2 linked regions of the Lepisosteus oculatus genome follow. The protein of the gene in region 2 purifies or fractionates together with the protein of the main gene of each other region. This does not show direct contact. Links are inferred from orthologs where the notes say so. Each region holds a gene or a part of one and is shown on either strand. Other genes may lie near its edges.

Evidence for each region. The genes of interacting proteins can lie anywhere in the genome.
Region 1: the proteins of marchf6 (region 2) and sqlea purify together in Homo sapiens (affinity purification with western blotting; 4 studies listed by BioGRID and IntAct, with this or other methods). This does not show direct contact. The link is inferred for Lepisosteus oculatus from reciprocal best matches to the Homo sapiens genes MARCHF6 and SQLE.

What each region holds. Positions count from the first base shown.
Region 1 is NC_090705.1:10,582,354-10,590,100, reverse strand, and holds the start of sqlea (squalene monooxygenase), read left to right. Parts: upstream 1-4,686; 5' UTR 4,687-4,903; coding exon 4,904-5,152; intron 5,153-6,298; coding exon 6,299-6,578; intron 6,579-7,425; coding exon 7,426-7,603; intron 7,604-7,747. Other genes in the region: uncharacterized protein, read left to right, coding at 1-127, 1,031-1,105, 2,374-2,457. UniProt on the Homo sapiens protein: Catalyzes the stereospecific oxidation of squalene to (S)-2,3-epoxysqualene, and is considered to be a rate-limiting enzyme in steroid biosynthesis.
Region 2 is NC_090701.1:718,668-725,861, reverse strand, and holds the start of marchf6 (E3 ubiquitin-protein ligase MARCHF6), read right to left. Parts: upstream 3,038-7,194; 5' UTR 2,741-3,037; coding exon 2,722-2,740; intron 1-2,721. Other genes in the region: cmbl (carboxymethylenebutenolidase homolog), read left to right, coding at 6,060-6,062, 6,627-6,841, 7,194-7,194. UniProt on the Homo sapiens protein: Endoplasmic reticulum membrane-associated E3 ubiquitin ligase that plays a critical role in mitigating endoplasmic reticulum stress, the regulation of cholesterol and lipid homeostasis, and ferroptosis.

The DNA of each region.
Region 1 (7,747 bases), on a different chromosome or scaffold from region 2:
ACGGCGAGAGTCTACGGACCTGGAGGATCTGTTTATCGCACACGTGGGTGCCATGGACACCTTCGCTCGGGGTCTGAGGAGCGCGGTGCAGATCATCGAGGAGGGCGTGATTGCTCAGATGCTGCAGGTACTGTGCGCCCATTGCCCGGAGGGAAATTGTGCTCGTATGATTGTTACGTTGAGCCAGATGGGGAGGCACAAGTCTGCTTCACAGTGCTGAGGTCCAGCACCAGTCCTGGACAGAACAGTACCAGCACGGAAGGGATGAAGACCAATTTGCGCTTTCTTCCGAAAGATACACTGGACTGAGCCATCCCACCCCCCTTATTCAGAACGTTGCAAGTCTTGCAATGCTGATAGCAGGGCTGGGCTTCGTTGACCGATGAGTCTCTCCCAGGTGTCACTGCAACCTCACTGCGGCTTGGAAGGTTGGGTAGCGCGCTGGGCTTGCCCTGGCAGACTCGAGCCCTGCCAATCCCAGGAGGCCCAGCCCACGGTGGGTCACCACAGCCGGGTTCTGTTGTAGCCTAGACTTGAAGGAGTCATATCGAGACTTTTTAGGATTCAACTGGCACCCTGAAACAAGCACGTGCAATGGTGGCACGATCTACGAGCCCCAAAACTCTGCTCTATGCAGTGTGTTACGTAATGCATGGTAAAGTCCTTTATAAAAGACAATCTTTATTGTTTGTAAAGGCAGAGATGAAAGTTATGTTTATTTCTTTTAATTATTTTGAATATCTGAGAAATCATATGAGGAGTGGGCTGCTGTTGGGGATGAGTGCAGGTTTCAGAGCTGGACAGAGCGGTTCAGGAAGTGGGTCACAGAAGGGAGGAGATGAGACCCGCTGGAGCCACAAGCACATGGTTTCTGGAACAAAGGGGATCTAATACCGTAGCTAAACAGCTCAGCTCAGTGACGGATCAGGTCAAACTTGGTTACAGGTTTTTATGTTCCTTGAAACACATTATGTACTATAACTCTCCATAACCGTGACATTTGAGTGTGTGCTTTGTATCTGTTGTCCAGCAACGCTACCTGAGCTTCAGCAGTGGAATTGGCAGTATGGTGGAGGAAGGCACAGCCACGCTAGTGGAACTGGAGGTAATAACAGCAACGGGTTTAGCAGAGTTCTCCGCATCTGAGGGTTATAATGATTACGCTTCCTTACACTTCTGGACACTCCACTCAAAGCGCTTTACAGGTAATGGGGACCCCCCTCCACCACCACCAGTGTGCAGCCCCCACCTGGATGTTGTGACGGCAGCCATAGTGCGCCAGAACGCTCACCACACATCAGCTATCGGTGGGGAGGAGAACAGAGTGATGAAGCCAATTCATAGATTGGGATTATTAGGAAGCCGTGATTGGTAAAGGCCAATGGGAAATTTGGCCAGGATGACAGGGTTGCACCCCTAATCTTTTTTTAAGAAACACCATGAGATTTTTAATGACCACAGAGAGACAGGAACTTGGTTTTACATCTAATCTGAAAGACAGCGCCTTTTATACAGTAAAAAATCCCCGTCACTATACTGGGGCATTAGGACAAACACAGACAGCAGAGTGAGCGCTCCCACTGGTCCCCTGAACACCTCTTCCAGCAGCAGCCTTAGTTTTTCCCAGGAGGTCTCCTATCCAGGTACTGACCAGGCTCACACCTGCTTAGCTTGAGTGGGTTGCCAGTTGTGAGTTGCAGGGTGATATGGCTGCCGACAATGTGAGTTTATAATTGAGGCACTTTGAAAAATGAAGTAGTTAAGTAATTTCACCTTGCCCTCATGTGCCATGCATTGGATTTTAGCTGATGAGAAATTATCATAAATGAATCCCAGTCAACTTTATCAGTTATCCTTAAATTAAACTTTCTGTAACATAGAACAAAAACCTCTTACTTCATCACCAGATATAATGTCCAACTCAAAAACCTAGCTCTAAGCAAGCTAAAGTATACGTTTAAAAACAGTTTTTTTAACACAAAATGCAGTATTCTAAGGCTGAAATGGGCAGTTTTTCTCCTCTGTCCAGTGCTACAATACCAATGTCTGGAGTTACAAGTTTAAAATGTTTACTGCCCTTCTAATTGCTGCACTCTCAGAGTGGTATTAATTAACACTAACGTGTAGTGCTGTAAAGAACGTATGCCTCTCAGATGATTTTCTTGAAAAAATACCCACACGTCCTACAAAAAAAAATGCAAACTCACTTTTACCTTCTTGATCACATCAGGATATTAGCTCTTTCCTCTTTTATTTATCTTTTCTTGTGTTGATAGGCATGATTCACAAATCAGTAGCATTCTAAAAATATTATTTTTTTAAAAACCAGTATATGTTTTTTTTTGTTTTTCAAGTTTTCTTTTCTGTTTATAGGAGTTTATCAAGCAAAATGGAGAACCAAAGACCACGTCAGGGAAACAAGAAAAATACGAATCAATTTTTAACCATTACTTGTAAAGACAAGCCTGTCTTATATATTTGAAAATCTATTTTGATTCAGTGCCTGCAAATAAAGCTGTGACCCCATTAGCTGGCATGTAGAGCTACATAATTTATTTAATTACCTTTTTTGCATAATAGAAGTTATAAACTATTTATACATAAAGCTTTATATGCATTATAAGTGTCCCTAGATACACATGGAAATATGAACTATATGCTTACTGATCTTTAACAAAAAACTAAAATTGTATAATTTAATATATTTACTTTTTAGTCAGGGTTTTCTGTGTTGTGGGGAATAATGGGGTCAGGTGTTTATGCCCGGGGCTCTTATTAGATTAACCACATTAGATTCAAGATGTGTTAATTAATCCATTGGCATTTGCCTGTAATTTCATATAGTCTGCTTTAATTATTCAACATTTAGTGAATACTGTAGTTAGATTATTAAAGATGATGTTGATGTTGATTCATTATGCGGGAGCATGTTCTACTTTTTACTAATGCTTTTCTCTCCACCATTCGAGAAGGAAACCAGTGTTAAATGTGGAGAAACAATAGAGGCAAACAGTGTTGAGAAGCATCAAGGGATGTTAGGTTAAAATTGTACAGTGCACTAGAACTTCTCTTGAACTGAGAGCCCTCTGAGGGGACCTGTTAAAAGTACTGATCGTCTTGTTTGAATACAGTGTTGTGTCCTAGGCACATCTTAATACTTAAGGTTGGTGGAATGTGTTTCAAGAAGTGACAGGATGGGGATCAATTCTGGGATCAATTAGCTACTAACAAATGGCATGCTCTCTTTTGTGAACAACTCTCAGGTTCTCTCCACAAGGACTCCAGTTAAGATCGAAAATCAATGTGTGGTATTCTAAATTAAAGTGTGATTAGATTAGAGAAGAAGCTGAACAATGGGTCAGCAGATCGACTGAGTACGTTGACAGTGAAGACCTTCTTTGTGACTTAACACACTTCCAGGCTTGGGGGTGGAATGTTTCCCTTCGTTTTTCAGGTGTCCCCAGAAATCTGCTGCCTCAGGAATGCCTTGCCCTGTTTTTGTTACAGTTCTGCTGAATTGATCGTTGATGAATTAGTTCTTTTCAAACTCTTTTCTGTTCTGAAACAGTGGGTTTCAGAGTACCTGTACAATGTTTATAGAGAAACCTGAAATCTCACTTCAGACATAGAACACGACGAATATTTAATTGAGAAAATAATTGGGCTTAACTGCAGGACCGGTTGTAAGGCAGTACATATTGTAAAAAAGCATTATATTCTGATCCTAGTAAAGATGATTCAATAGCAACCATCCACACACGGAGAGACTAGATAAATAAAAGTATGTACAAAATACACAAGGAACACGAATCTGATAAAGGCAGAATGATAAACTCGTTATCACACCACGAAAATATCCTGACGAATACTTTTAAATGCATAGTTCACAGCACATTCCTGTCGGGTACATAATGGTACTGGTGTATTAAGAAAATTAAACACACAAATAAAAACATGTTTCTTGATGGAACACTTTGTCAGGCAGGTTCTAGGAAGCGAGGTGATGCTGTAACCGTGTTTCCAGCCCTCCTTGGCTGACAGATCCGCCTGTACTGCACAGGGGGACGACACTGGCGTCTGACGCGGGCCCACCTGCCCCATGACGTCACATCAGACTAGAGCAGACCTGACTGTCAGCTCGGCCACCGGCAGGACCGGATTGGCCAATGGCCAGATAGCGTGAGCTCTGCTCACCGCTCTGCGGCCTCTGATTGGGTACTGCGATGAAGAAAGGGGCGGGGAAGAGCGCGGTCCGGGCACGCGGCTCATTAGCATAGACTCCTTATTACCATAAAATATTCAGCATCCCACGAGAGTGACACGCCGGCTAGGTTGCAACTATTCTGGTCACCATCAGAAAAAAAATATAAACTCACTTTTCATGTTACAGTTGCACAGTTGTCTGTGAAGGTCTTCGGGAAAGAACTACAATTTATTTAAGAGCTGGGTTATTCAAGTCTGTTTTTTTTTTAGTACTAATGATATAAATACTGAATATCGGAGGACATTTGGGGACGGATTATTTCTTTAATATCATTATTATAAGAACAACATTATTTTTATTATTTAGAAGACAGCTGAGCAATATCTTAACCATTATTTCCGTGGCTTCATTTCTTCTCACATTGGTGTCCTGGATCCAAAATAACAGCTGATCCGGCGTCTGTTCGGCGATGACGAGCAGATTCGTTCACTAAAAGGAAAAAAAAAACAAACATTTCAGATTTCGGTATCGGTTGCCCAGGCCGGACTCCTTGCCTTTGAAACCTTGAAAGCATAACCGCCTTCAGTGCGTTTCTCTCGGGGACGCGTTTAACCCCACTTTTGACAAAAAAAAAAACTTATTCCGAGCGCACGTTTATTTTGGTTGTCGCTCAGTTGTCGATCCCTTGATTGACGAGAGATGTGGACGTTCCTGGGAATCGCCAGCTTCACCTACGTTTACAAGAAATGCGACGCCGTCCTGCACTATGCCAACAAGGAGGTCGCGCTGGTCTTCCTGGGCTGCTGCTTGCTCGCCTCCCTGCTGTCCTACGCCAGGTACCGCAGCGGGCAGGCGCTGCCCAGCCTGGGTCTGGACATCCCGGCGTCCCTGCCGCTGGCCCGCTTCTTCTCCGGACGGGACACGGACTCCGGCAGCCGGGCCGAAAAGGTAAACCCGTCTGCGGTCGGGGGAGCATCTCCATCCGCCCTGGCAAGCTATACAGTACCTCCCTCCGCCGGGTGCTGTGAAAAGCAGACGCGCGGCTGTGTTAACAGGTTGCTTTGCGGTGGGTATTTAACGCGCGTTGTGATTCCCGTTCGCTGGTTTTCCGAGTTTCAAAAGACGTTTCCCGGTCGGACAGGAGCAGATCCGGCCAGGGAGGGTCACAGTGATGCGAGATGCGGTCCGTCGTGTTTCTAAAAAGATGGACTTTTTTGGAAGACCTGCGGTGTTCAGACTTCACACACTTCCAGAGTGGGGGGTCCCCCTCTTCTCGAGCAGGGATGCTCTCCCCCAGGAACCCCCTTGTCCTGCTTTAATTACATCTCGACTGAATTGAATCATTGAGCTTTTTCCAATCGTTTTCCGCTCTGGCACAGTTGGGAGATCTCAGGATGCCTTTAGAATAGAAACCTGGTTTCTGCCGGCTCACATAACATATGAGAAATCTATCGATATACACATATATCGAGAAAATAATTAAGCTTCAGTGCAGGACCAAGACTGTGACGGTGGATAATAAGTAAAAAAGCGTTCTTTAAAAAAAAAAAAACAGCTCGGCTCGGCTTCTCCGATGTTCGCGTCCTACAGCGTCTTTCACAGGGGTTTCGTGGAAATTTGATTACCATTTTAATACCATTTACTCACGATACGACAGTATTTCAGCTCTTTTGCATTTAGCACGAACCGTCCGTTTTTGAGGTGTTAATGATTTTAATGAGGTCGCCCAGGCGCAAGCTGAAATTAGAAACGCGTTGCCAAATATCTCTCTTTAAAATATTTTCTTATTTTCTTTAGGCGTGTGTAAGCAATAGTCAGGCATTCGTGGTCAGCTCGAAATCCTCTGTCAAGTTGTCAGACTTCGGCTTGGGTTTTTCTACTTTTCCCCACGCTGAAATGACGGTTGGGGTGACGTTAAATGTGCTTGCCAGTATAAAAAGGCAAAATCACATCTTTATGGCCGATACAGGGGAGCTGCGATAATGAAAAAGTCGATAATGAAAGATGGAAAAGTGTTATTTTCTTCGTTGTTGAGACGCTTCTCCGGTCTTATTTTCCACTGACGCCCCTTAACTGTCCGGCCAATCAATCCAGCAGAGGGCGCGTCCCGGAGAGGGGAGGAGGAGGCGGCGGCACGTCGGACCCGCGGACTCCACCTGGCCGGACAGCGAGTGCGGCTCGGCCGCCGACTCTCGGGACCCGGACGTCGTGGTTGTCGGGGCCGGGGTGCTGGGCTCGGCCTTGGCGGCGGTGCTCGCCAGGGACGGCAGGCGGGTGACGGTGATCGAGAGGGACCTGCGGGAGCCGGACAGGATTGTCGGGGAGCTGCTGCAGCCCGGGGGGTACCGCGCCTTGAGGGAGCTGGGACTGGACGGTAAGCGTTCCCACTGTAACTGTTTGTCTTTCCATCTGGTACGCGGACAGGAGCCAGTAGGAGTTGCTTCTAATTGAGCACTACGTGTGTGGAGAATGTTTTAAAACTTAATTGTTTTAACAAAATAATTTCTGGAGATGATGTTTCAAATATGCTTTTAGTCTTGCTAAACTATATTGCGTTACTTAGCATTTTGTCTTAATATATAAGTAATAAAAAGATTTAAATGTAACTGCTACAAAACTTAAAAAAAGCCTGGTCAGTACCAGCATGGGAAACCTCCAGGGAAAAACTAAAGCTGCTGCTGGAAGAGGTGTTAGAGAGAAGGGGGTGCTCACCCTGTGGTCTGTGTGGGTCCCAGTGCCCCAGCATAGTGACGGGGACACTATACTATTAGAAAAGGCACCATTCTTCAGATGAGACGTTAAACCGAGGTCCTGACTCTCCCTGGTCATTAAAAGTCCCGGGGTGTTTCTTGAAAAGAGTAGGGGTGTAACCCCGATGTCCTGGCCAAATTTCCCATTGGCCTTTACCAGTCATGGCCTCCTAACAACCCCCCTCTATGAATTGGCTTCATCACTCTGCTCTCCTCCCCACTGATAGCTGATGTGTGGTGAGCGTTCTGGCGCACTATGGCTGCCGTCGCATCATTCAGGTGGGGGCTGCACACTGGTGGTGGTGGAGGGGAGTCCCCATGACCTGTAAAGCCCTTTGAGTGGAGTGTCCAGAAAAGCGCTATATAAGTGTAAGGATATTATTATATTGTTAGGACCTTGCTGCTGTGTTGTAGAAGTCTGTTTAAAAGGCTGCCCGCTGCCTTTCCCGATGCCACTTTGTTGCTCCACAGGCTGCGTCGAAGGGGTCGACGCCCACACCGTGAACGGCTACGTCATCCACGACATCGAGAGCCGGTCCGAGGTCGAAATTCCCTACCCCATGGAGGAGAACGTGATCCAGTGCGGGAGAGCTTTCCACCACGGCCGCTTCATCATGGGCCTGCGCCGGGCAGCCTCTGCGGAGCCAAAGTAAGGGTCCCTACCGTGCAGAGGAACCAGGTGCTGGTGCCCAAGAACAGATAGACACACCCAGGGCTCACGGGTCCCTCTCAGCTCTTTTAATCTAGAGTTCAGCATCTAAGAAGCTTTACAAGCCATGAAGCAGAATATGCT
Region 2 (7,194 bases):
AAGGTCCAGGTAGAAGAATGTAAGGAATTTGGCATCCTGCTGGAAAATCCTGTACTATTAACTCCTGCTTTTTAATCCTACACTCAGCTGTCTCATTCCGTATATGAGCGCGATCAGTGGCTTCCAGCAACAGTTAGCATTGTTTGTCCGCTCTGAGCGTTCTGGCAACGACTTTCACGTCTGAGCAGAACGTTCTGCAATCAAACTTTCCATCAAGCATTCACAGACAAGCAATGATTTCCTGGAAGTCTTAACTCGACTTACAAATCTTTTATTCTTTCAACAAACACAGACTGAGAGAAGGCTCAAAGCTGAAGGCTTTTGCAAGCCAACCCATTGGTGCTTGAAACCGTGGAATCAAGGCAGAATGGAAGCAGTGTACAGAGGAGATGCCCAGGGCGTCCACACACTCCATTTGTCTGCCCTCCTTCCCACAGGCTTCAGCTCAGCTTACCACCTCTGTGGCACTTTCACATGGGGCTTCAACAGGCCTGTTTTTAGGCAGTATGCCCAGTGTCGGTGTACACAAGCTACACAATTCACAGTCTGCAGTATGAATGATCCTTTTCAGAGATCTATTTAAGATCTTTCTGTCATGCTGTTGTGTTTATCAAAATAACCCATTTGCACCCCCCACACACATTACTGTTTCCACAGGATGAATGAGCTGGTGGTGAGATCTCTGCTGGTGACTGCAGTGTTTTGCTCTTCTTCACAACTGTGGACATCTCATACTTTATTTTTAACACAGAAGTCTGCCACTACTCATCTCTGGAAAACAAGCCAACAAAAACAAGGCAAGCTTTCCAGACAGTACAGTTCTGACTCCTGCCAGTTACTACGCAAACACAGCTTTACTGCAAACACGCTCATTTCATTTCCTCCAAACAAGCTCTGGAGTTAAGCCTCCAACTCAACACTTGGGGATCATCCAGTAATAACCTACAGTTTTCTAGGAGTTCTGCACACCAGCGGCATCAACATCAAGGGAAAGAAACACTCTGTACAATACACACACATGCATTAAATCTGCAATGGCCTAAGATTGATCCTAAATTTTTACAATCTGGTAAAACCTGGCTTGCATTCATTTATCACAATTCATGCATAATTACAATAGGGGGCTATGCAATTAGCTGACTTTAGTCTACTGTCAAAAGCTAGTGGGATGAAAGCAAGGACTTATTACTAAAACAGGACACACTGCAGAAACTCCCCTAGTTGCAATGAATAGTGAATAATGAACTGGCAGACTGACCGAGTCTTGCTCAGCAAGTACAATCTGGTGTCACAGACACCAGATCAACACTTTGTGTAATCTATTTTATATTAGTCTGCACTTTAATGCACTTTAACTACTATTAAAACAACTCTTTTTGTTAAATAAGTCTCTTCTATTTTGCTTCCCATCTTAAATTTATGCTCCTTTAACATTTTCAGTTATAAATCCATTTAAACGTTGACTCTAAAAATGAAATCGCAAAGCACTATAAACTTCAGAATTTGGACCAGCTATACAATCTAATGAAGAAAAGAGTCCAGCTGGCAGATAACACTGTTGTCGACCATCACAAATGCACATACACTAAAACTTGGAAGCTCAATACTATATAAGGCCTAAATCACCTTTTCACTTCATAAAACTCAGAAAGCATCCAAAACCAAACCAGCTTGAATCGTACATGTGCAGCCTTGTTTCACACGCAGAACGGCTAGTGAAGCAGCCTTGTTTCAAACACGGAGGCAGGACAAGAAGAGGGAGTGAAGTTTTTTATTGCCGATTCGCACTGCATTCTGGGGCCTGAACCCGACAGTCCCTCGAAGCTGCAAATTGCGAGGGGGGGGTCACAGGGCTCCATGGCGCTACAGCTCGCTTCCGACCGACACACAGTTGGCACGTCTCCTGTCTGCTCACGGTTCAGAGGAGTAAACACAGTCACCGGACAGTTCCTCCTTCTTTCAAGCTCCATGCGGCTCACAGCTACACCAGAACCATGGATCTGACCCAGTTCTCACCCTCCGGTACCAGCCGGCCCGGACTCGGCCCGGACAAGCAAAGGGTGAGACTGACGAGACCTGACCGGCAGCTGATTCGCTCAGCGAGAGCTGCTCGAACGCATCGATCACCCCAAAACAAGCACAAACCACAAACCACCCTTAAAGACTTGGATTTCTTTTGTGTGGAAACAAATATTACACTAGTTTAACCCGAAATACCTCTGGCCTGTGGACATTACGAGCCTGATGTCTTCGTACAATTTCGTACAGTCACCCTAAATCCCCCCCAAAAGCTAAAAATTCTGCGCATCAGATAAAATAAAGTGCGTCTCTTCATGGCCACTGAGCTGACTCGCGGGACGCTCGGCAGGTGACAAAACACCAATTTAAACTACAAAAGGCGTGAATCTAAATGCAAATATGAGTCGGCTGAACCCCGGAGGATTAGAGGTTACATAAGCATCGTTAGCGGGCAAGCGCAGGCTGAGTGCGGCCCGGAGCTCGCTAGCCTGTGCACACTGCTCAGGCGGGATCCTGCACATGAGCCTGCGGGAAGGTGAAACACGTCTCGCCAGGGGGTCCTGAGCGATGCGCCCACCGTGCCGCCCCGCACCGAGGACTGGCCCGGCCCGGCCCACCGCGACCCGGACCGCCGGCCCCCTGCGACTGTCCCGTTCCTGCTGTTGCGTTATACAGGGGCATGCTCCTGGCGTGTTACGCTACCTTCTTCGGCGGTGTCCATCTTGAGTGCGACGCGCTGCCCTCGGCTCCTCTTACAGCCGACACATCGACACCATCACCGAGCCTCGGCGGAAAACAAACATCAACCCGCTCCCCCCCCCTCCCCAGCAAAAAGGCACACAAGCGAACACAACCCACACTGCTTCTAAAACCCTGTTTTTGTCTGCGATCCCCCAGGGGAACTGGGGTACGAAGCTAATTCAGTCAGCCTAAAAAATAAATATCTGTATCCATCCCTCTCTCCATATCATTACGGAGAGTCTGCTGCACGACAGCTAGCGGGGTCTTTACGGCAGGAAGCGCTACGCAGGCGCACGACTTACGATCTCTGTTTGCGACTCCGCTCGGTTGCCATGGCAAAGGAAAACCGATGCTGTTGCAGATCCAGTATAACTACTAATACGACTTTATGTCCTGAAAGAGTCTTGGGTTTGGGAAAGTTACGGGTCCTGTTTCTGTTTTCCAAAATGTTCGGAATGATGGAAATTAATCACCTAAGGGCACAAATTCTGCCCTCCTTACTGTCCCCCAAGCCCGTCTACATTGTATGGGTGACAGGGCCTTCTCCTGTTATGCCCCCAAGCTCTGGAACTCTTTGCCCAAGGATATTAGAGAGTCACCTTCTCTAAACTCCTTCAAATCCAGACTCAAAACCTTCTTCTTCAGAAAAGCCTTTACTTAACTGGTTGCATTCTTCACCCCTCTGCTCTTCTTAATACCATCTTCCACGGTCTCCTCTATTGATGTATTGTTGTAATTATAATTGTGTCCTGTCTTGTGAAATTTTCTTATTTATTGTTGTAGTCTTCTTATTTATTGTTATTGTCATCCTGTAAAGCGCTTTGAGAAGCCACCTTTAAAGGCGCTATATAAAATAAAGTTTATCATTATTATTATTATTATTATTATTATTATTATTATTATTATTATTATTATTACCTGGTATGGTCGGTCGTACAATTATTGCAAACCTTTTTTTTGTCTGGTTGGAGTTTGGCGCTTATATTTATGTTAAGAGATGTCGAATTTGAAATATTTAAATGAATGTTTACTCCATGGGTTCAAATTTTATTGAATGTTCAAAACTATGTTAGGAAAGGAAAAAAAACAATTTTCGCAGTGGTCTTTAATCCGATTAGAAATGCAACAGGCGACATCTAGCGTCGAAGTATCCTTCATTTAGCATGAGGTTACAAACATAAAATAACAAAGGTTACAAACGAGGGGTCATTCGAGCACTCTAGCCTGTTTGATAATATCTTATTGATCCAGCTGTTGCTTGAAACGAAGCGGAGTGTCGTTTTCAATACCAGGGCTGGTTAGCCTGCTCCCCACTCCCCCCACTGTTTGTGTAAAGAAGTGCCTCCTGTTCGTTGTTTTAAACCCACATATATTTGATTTTCGAGATAGCAACGTACTGTCGGTTTATTTGGTAACTGGTACGGCACAATTCTGGAAATTGCGTGCTATGTAATATATGCAATTTCCCATATTCGACCTAAAATAATATGCCCCGCACTCGTTTATGAAAACTATTATGAAGAACAACTTAATATATTAAATGATCGGTTATTTTCTCACTCGAAAACCAGTTGTTGTTGTTGTTGTTGTTGTTGTTGTTGTTGTTGTTGAAAGCGCTGGATACACTGTACTTCTGCACTTCCTGGTTTTATTCCGGTTTCTTATCCCCTGAATTTTATAAAATAAATAGTAGGTGGGAGGATCGCGCACGCAGCTTGATGAAAATAAACTCGTAGGAAAAGGGCACCAATTTAAGCCTCGTCAATGACAGCGACACTAGGTTAGGGTTAATTCAGGTAGGGAGACTCAGCCGGCGCGGCGCCGTGGCTTAGTTGGTTAAAGCGCCTGTCTAGTAAACAGGAGATCCTGGGTTCGAATCCCAGCGGTGCCTCGATCAGTGTTGAATTTTATTGCTGTCTTGTCACACACCCGTCCTTTGAACAGTCACAAGAAAAAAGAACTACCGGTCTAAAAACCGCCCTATAGTTTCATCGTGGTTCACTATTTTTAAAATTCGTAGAACATAACTGTGAAAAACTGCACACACCTCGCTAAAAAGTCGTTATGCAAAGCGTGCATTTGCTTTACAATGTGGCCGTCAGAACATATCCCAAGCAAACTTTTTTAAAACTTGACACAGTCAGTATTTGAGTGTGCTGTCGAAACCCTGCCTGGCTTTGTGCCAGTATCAACACGGAGGGGTTAAAGCGAGTTTTTTTCCCTGATCAGTGCAGGAGCGTTTTTCTGCGGTGCTGCAGTCGGAGAGCTGAGATTCAACCCCCGTAATCTAGATCTACGAGTAGAAAGGACAAGGTAAACAATATCATATACCGTTTTAGAATTGAAATCGATATGCATATAGCATATCATTTTCGTCATTTCGTAGACCTTGGGTGCACGACAGCTCGACTTGCATGAAGTCTCGATCGGTTTTGAATGCTGAATGGGCCAGTTCGCGTTTTTGTAACTGCACGTTACTTACTCGAGATGACCATTTAGCCAAACGCGCTTTTAAATCGGTGCGTTTAACAATGAATAAAATATCCAGTCCGAGAGAAGTGTTATGTAACAGCAGTGGGGATGACTAGGCAATTTTCGTTTCCATTCACTAATAAGAGCTTTTTAAACGCTTTATGAGCGCGGATGAAGGCTTTATGCAAACAACATAATGGGGAGAAGTAGTGAGAGAACGTACTGTTTTGCATTCTTCGTGTACAATCCTTAAACGACTTTGTGCGGCATTAATCATAGGTGTAGGTCGTTTGAAGTCTATGACTGCTATAAAAATGCAATGCGTGTATGTTAATTGTCGATAAAGTAATGTCTTGGTTGTAAGAAACGTGTTATTCGGTTTGAAGCGTTTTAAGTTTAAACTACAGTACTATGTAAACTCCTTTTTCCATGGGGCGAAAGCATGAGGAAACACATTGTTTTAGAAAAGCTTTCCTTCTGGTAACATATCTTTTTAAAATACACGTAAGGAGCAAAATGCGGTTTAATTAAAACTGATAAATGAAATGTGTATATATTGAAGTCAGCAAAGCAGGGATTCGTGTTCGTTGCGTAATCTTTACTTGTGGGGCTGCCAGTTGTATGTACTATTTGGGAAATAGCGTGCTGGAGTCGCGTACCTGTCTAACAATGTTCTGTAAAAGGCTTATTTTGACGGGCGTTCGATAGCTGAAGAGGCAATGGTATTACACTTTAAAAAATCAATAGCCTCTGCTGCCTTTTAAGAACGTCGGAGCTTTCCAGTCAATCAGTGATTAACTACTGGGGCCATTGTTTCTCTTCATTTGATGGTTTGTGTGTTTTACTTAACAGATTATTAACTGAGACAGTGGTCGTGATTGCTGTGTACCGGAGTGTTGTAGCTGTTGCAGAAGAGGAGTTTCTTCAGCCTGGCCCTGCCTGTCTGTGTCTCCTCTCTGGAAAATGGAGCACAGAGCCTGGCAGTAACACAGGGTCACCTAAGAAAGTGCTGTGAAACTGAAACAGATAACAAAGAACCTGTACACAACGTGAACTACACAAAATAATGCATCTCAAAAAAATTCCAGCACAACAATTGTGTGTTAATATGCTATGAGGTTCCAAACAGGACAGTAAAACTACACAAGCTGATACTGTAGATACCCAGTGTGGCACAGACACGCCCACAGGGGGTGGAGCCAGAGGTACAGATCATGTCATGCTGGAGCTAAGGGCGAGATTCCCGGTCTCTGTGGGAGGGGAGCCCCGTGGGGGGCTGTGTGACAGCCCCAGGGGTCCAGGTGAATAAAATATTCACCAGATAGGCTGGAAGGTGCCCTCTTGTCTGGAGCCCATCTCGTGTTCTCTCACCCGAATCTTTCCTTGTGCTCTAGATGGCCAACGAAGCCCGACCCTGCCCCTGTGACCTTGGAGACAAGCTGGAATACGGGGGTCAGGGGGAGGAGGTCCAGGTCGAGCACCTCAGAGCCTACGTCTCCAAGCCCGGCTCCAGCACGGACAAGGCCGTCATCGTCATCCAGGACATTTATGGGTGGCAGCTTCCGAACACCAGATACATGGCCGACATGCTTGCCTCTAGTGGATACATGTGAATATCTAACTTTGTTTCAAGAGGTTTTAAAGAAAAACCTGACGTTGCACTAACCTACAAGCACATAGCTTTGTACTGCTTGGTTTGTAGCGGCTGTGTAATGTCATGTCTAGGTTGAGCTGTGCTCACTGACACCCTGCTCCCTGCAAGGAGGAGGATGTACAGTGGTTGACATGCATCATAAATCCTGTGATCTCCCCTATTGGCACTGAATGTTCCTATGCAACTGTAGTCAGAAGTCAAATGAGTGTCTTTAAGCCTGAGAAACCCAGCACCTGTAACTTAAATGGTCCTGTTGCTGCAGTTTGTAGTGACTCTGGATTCCTGTTGTTCTCTGCCCTCTCCCCAGA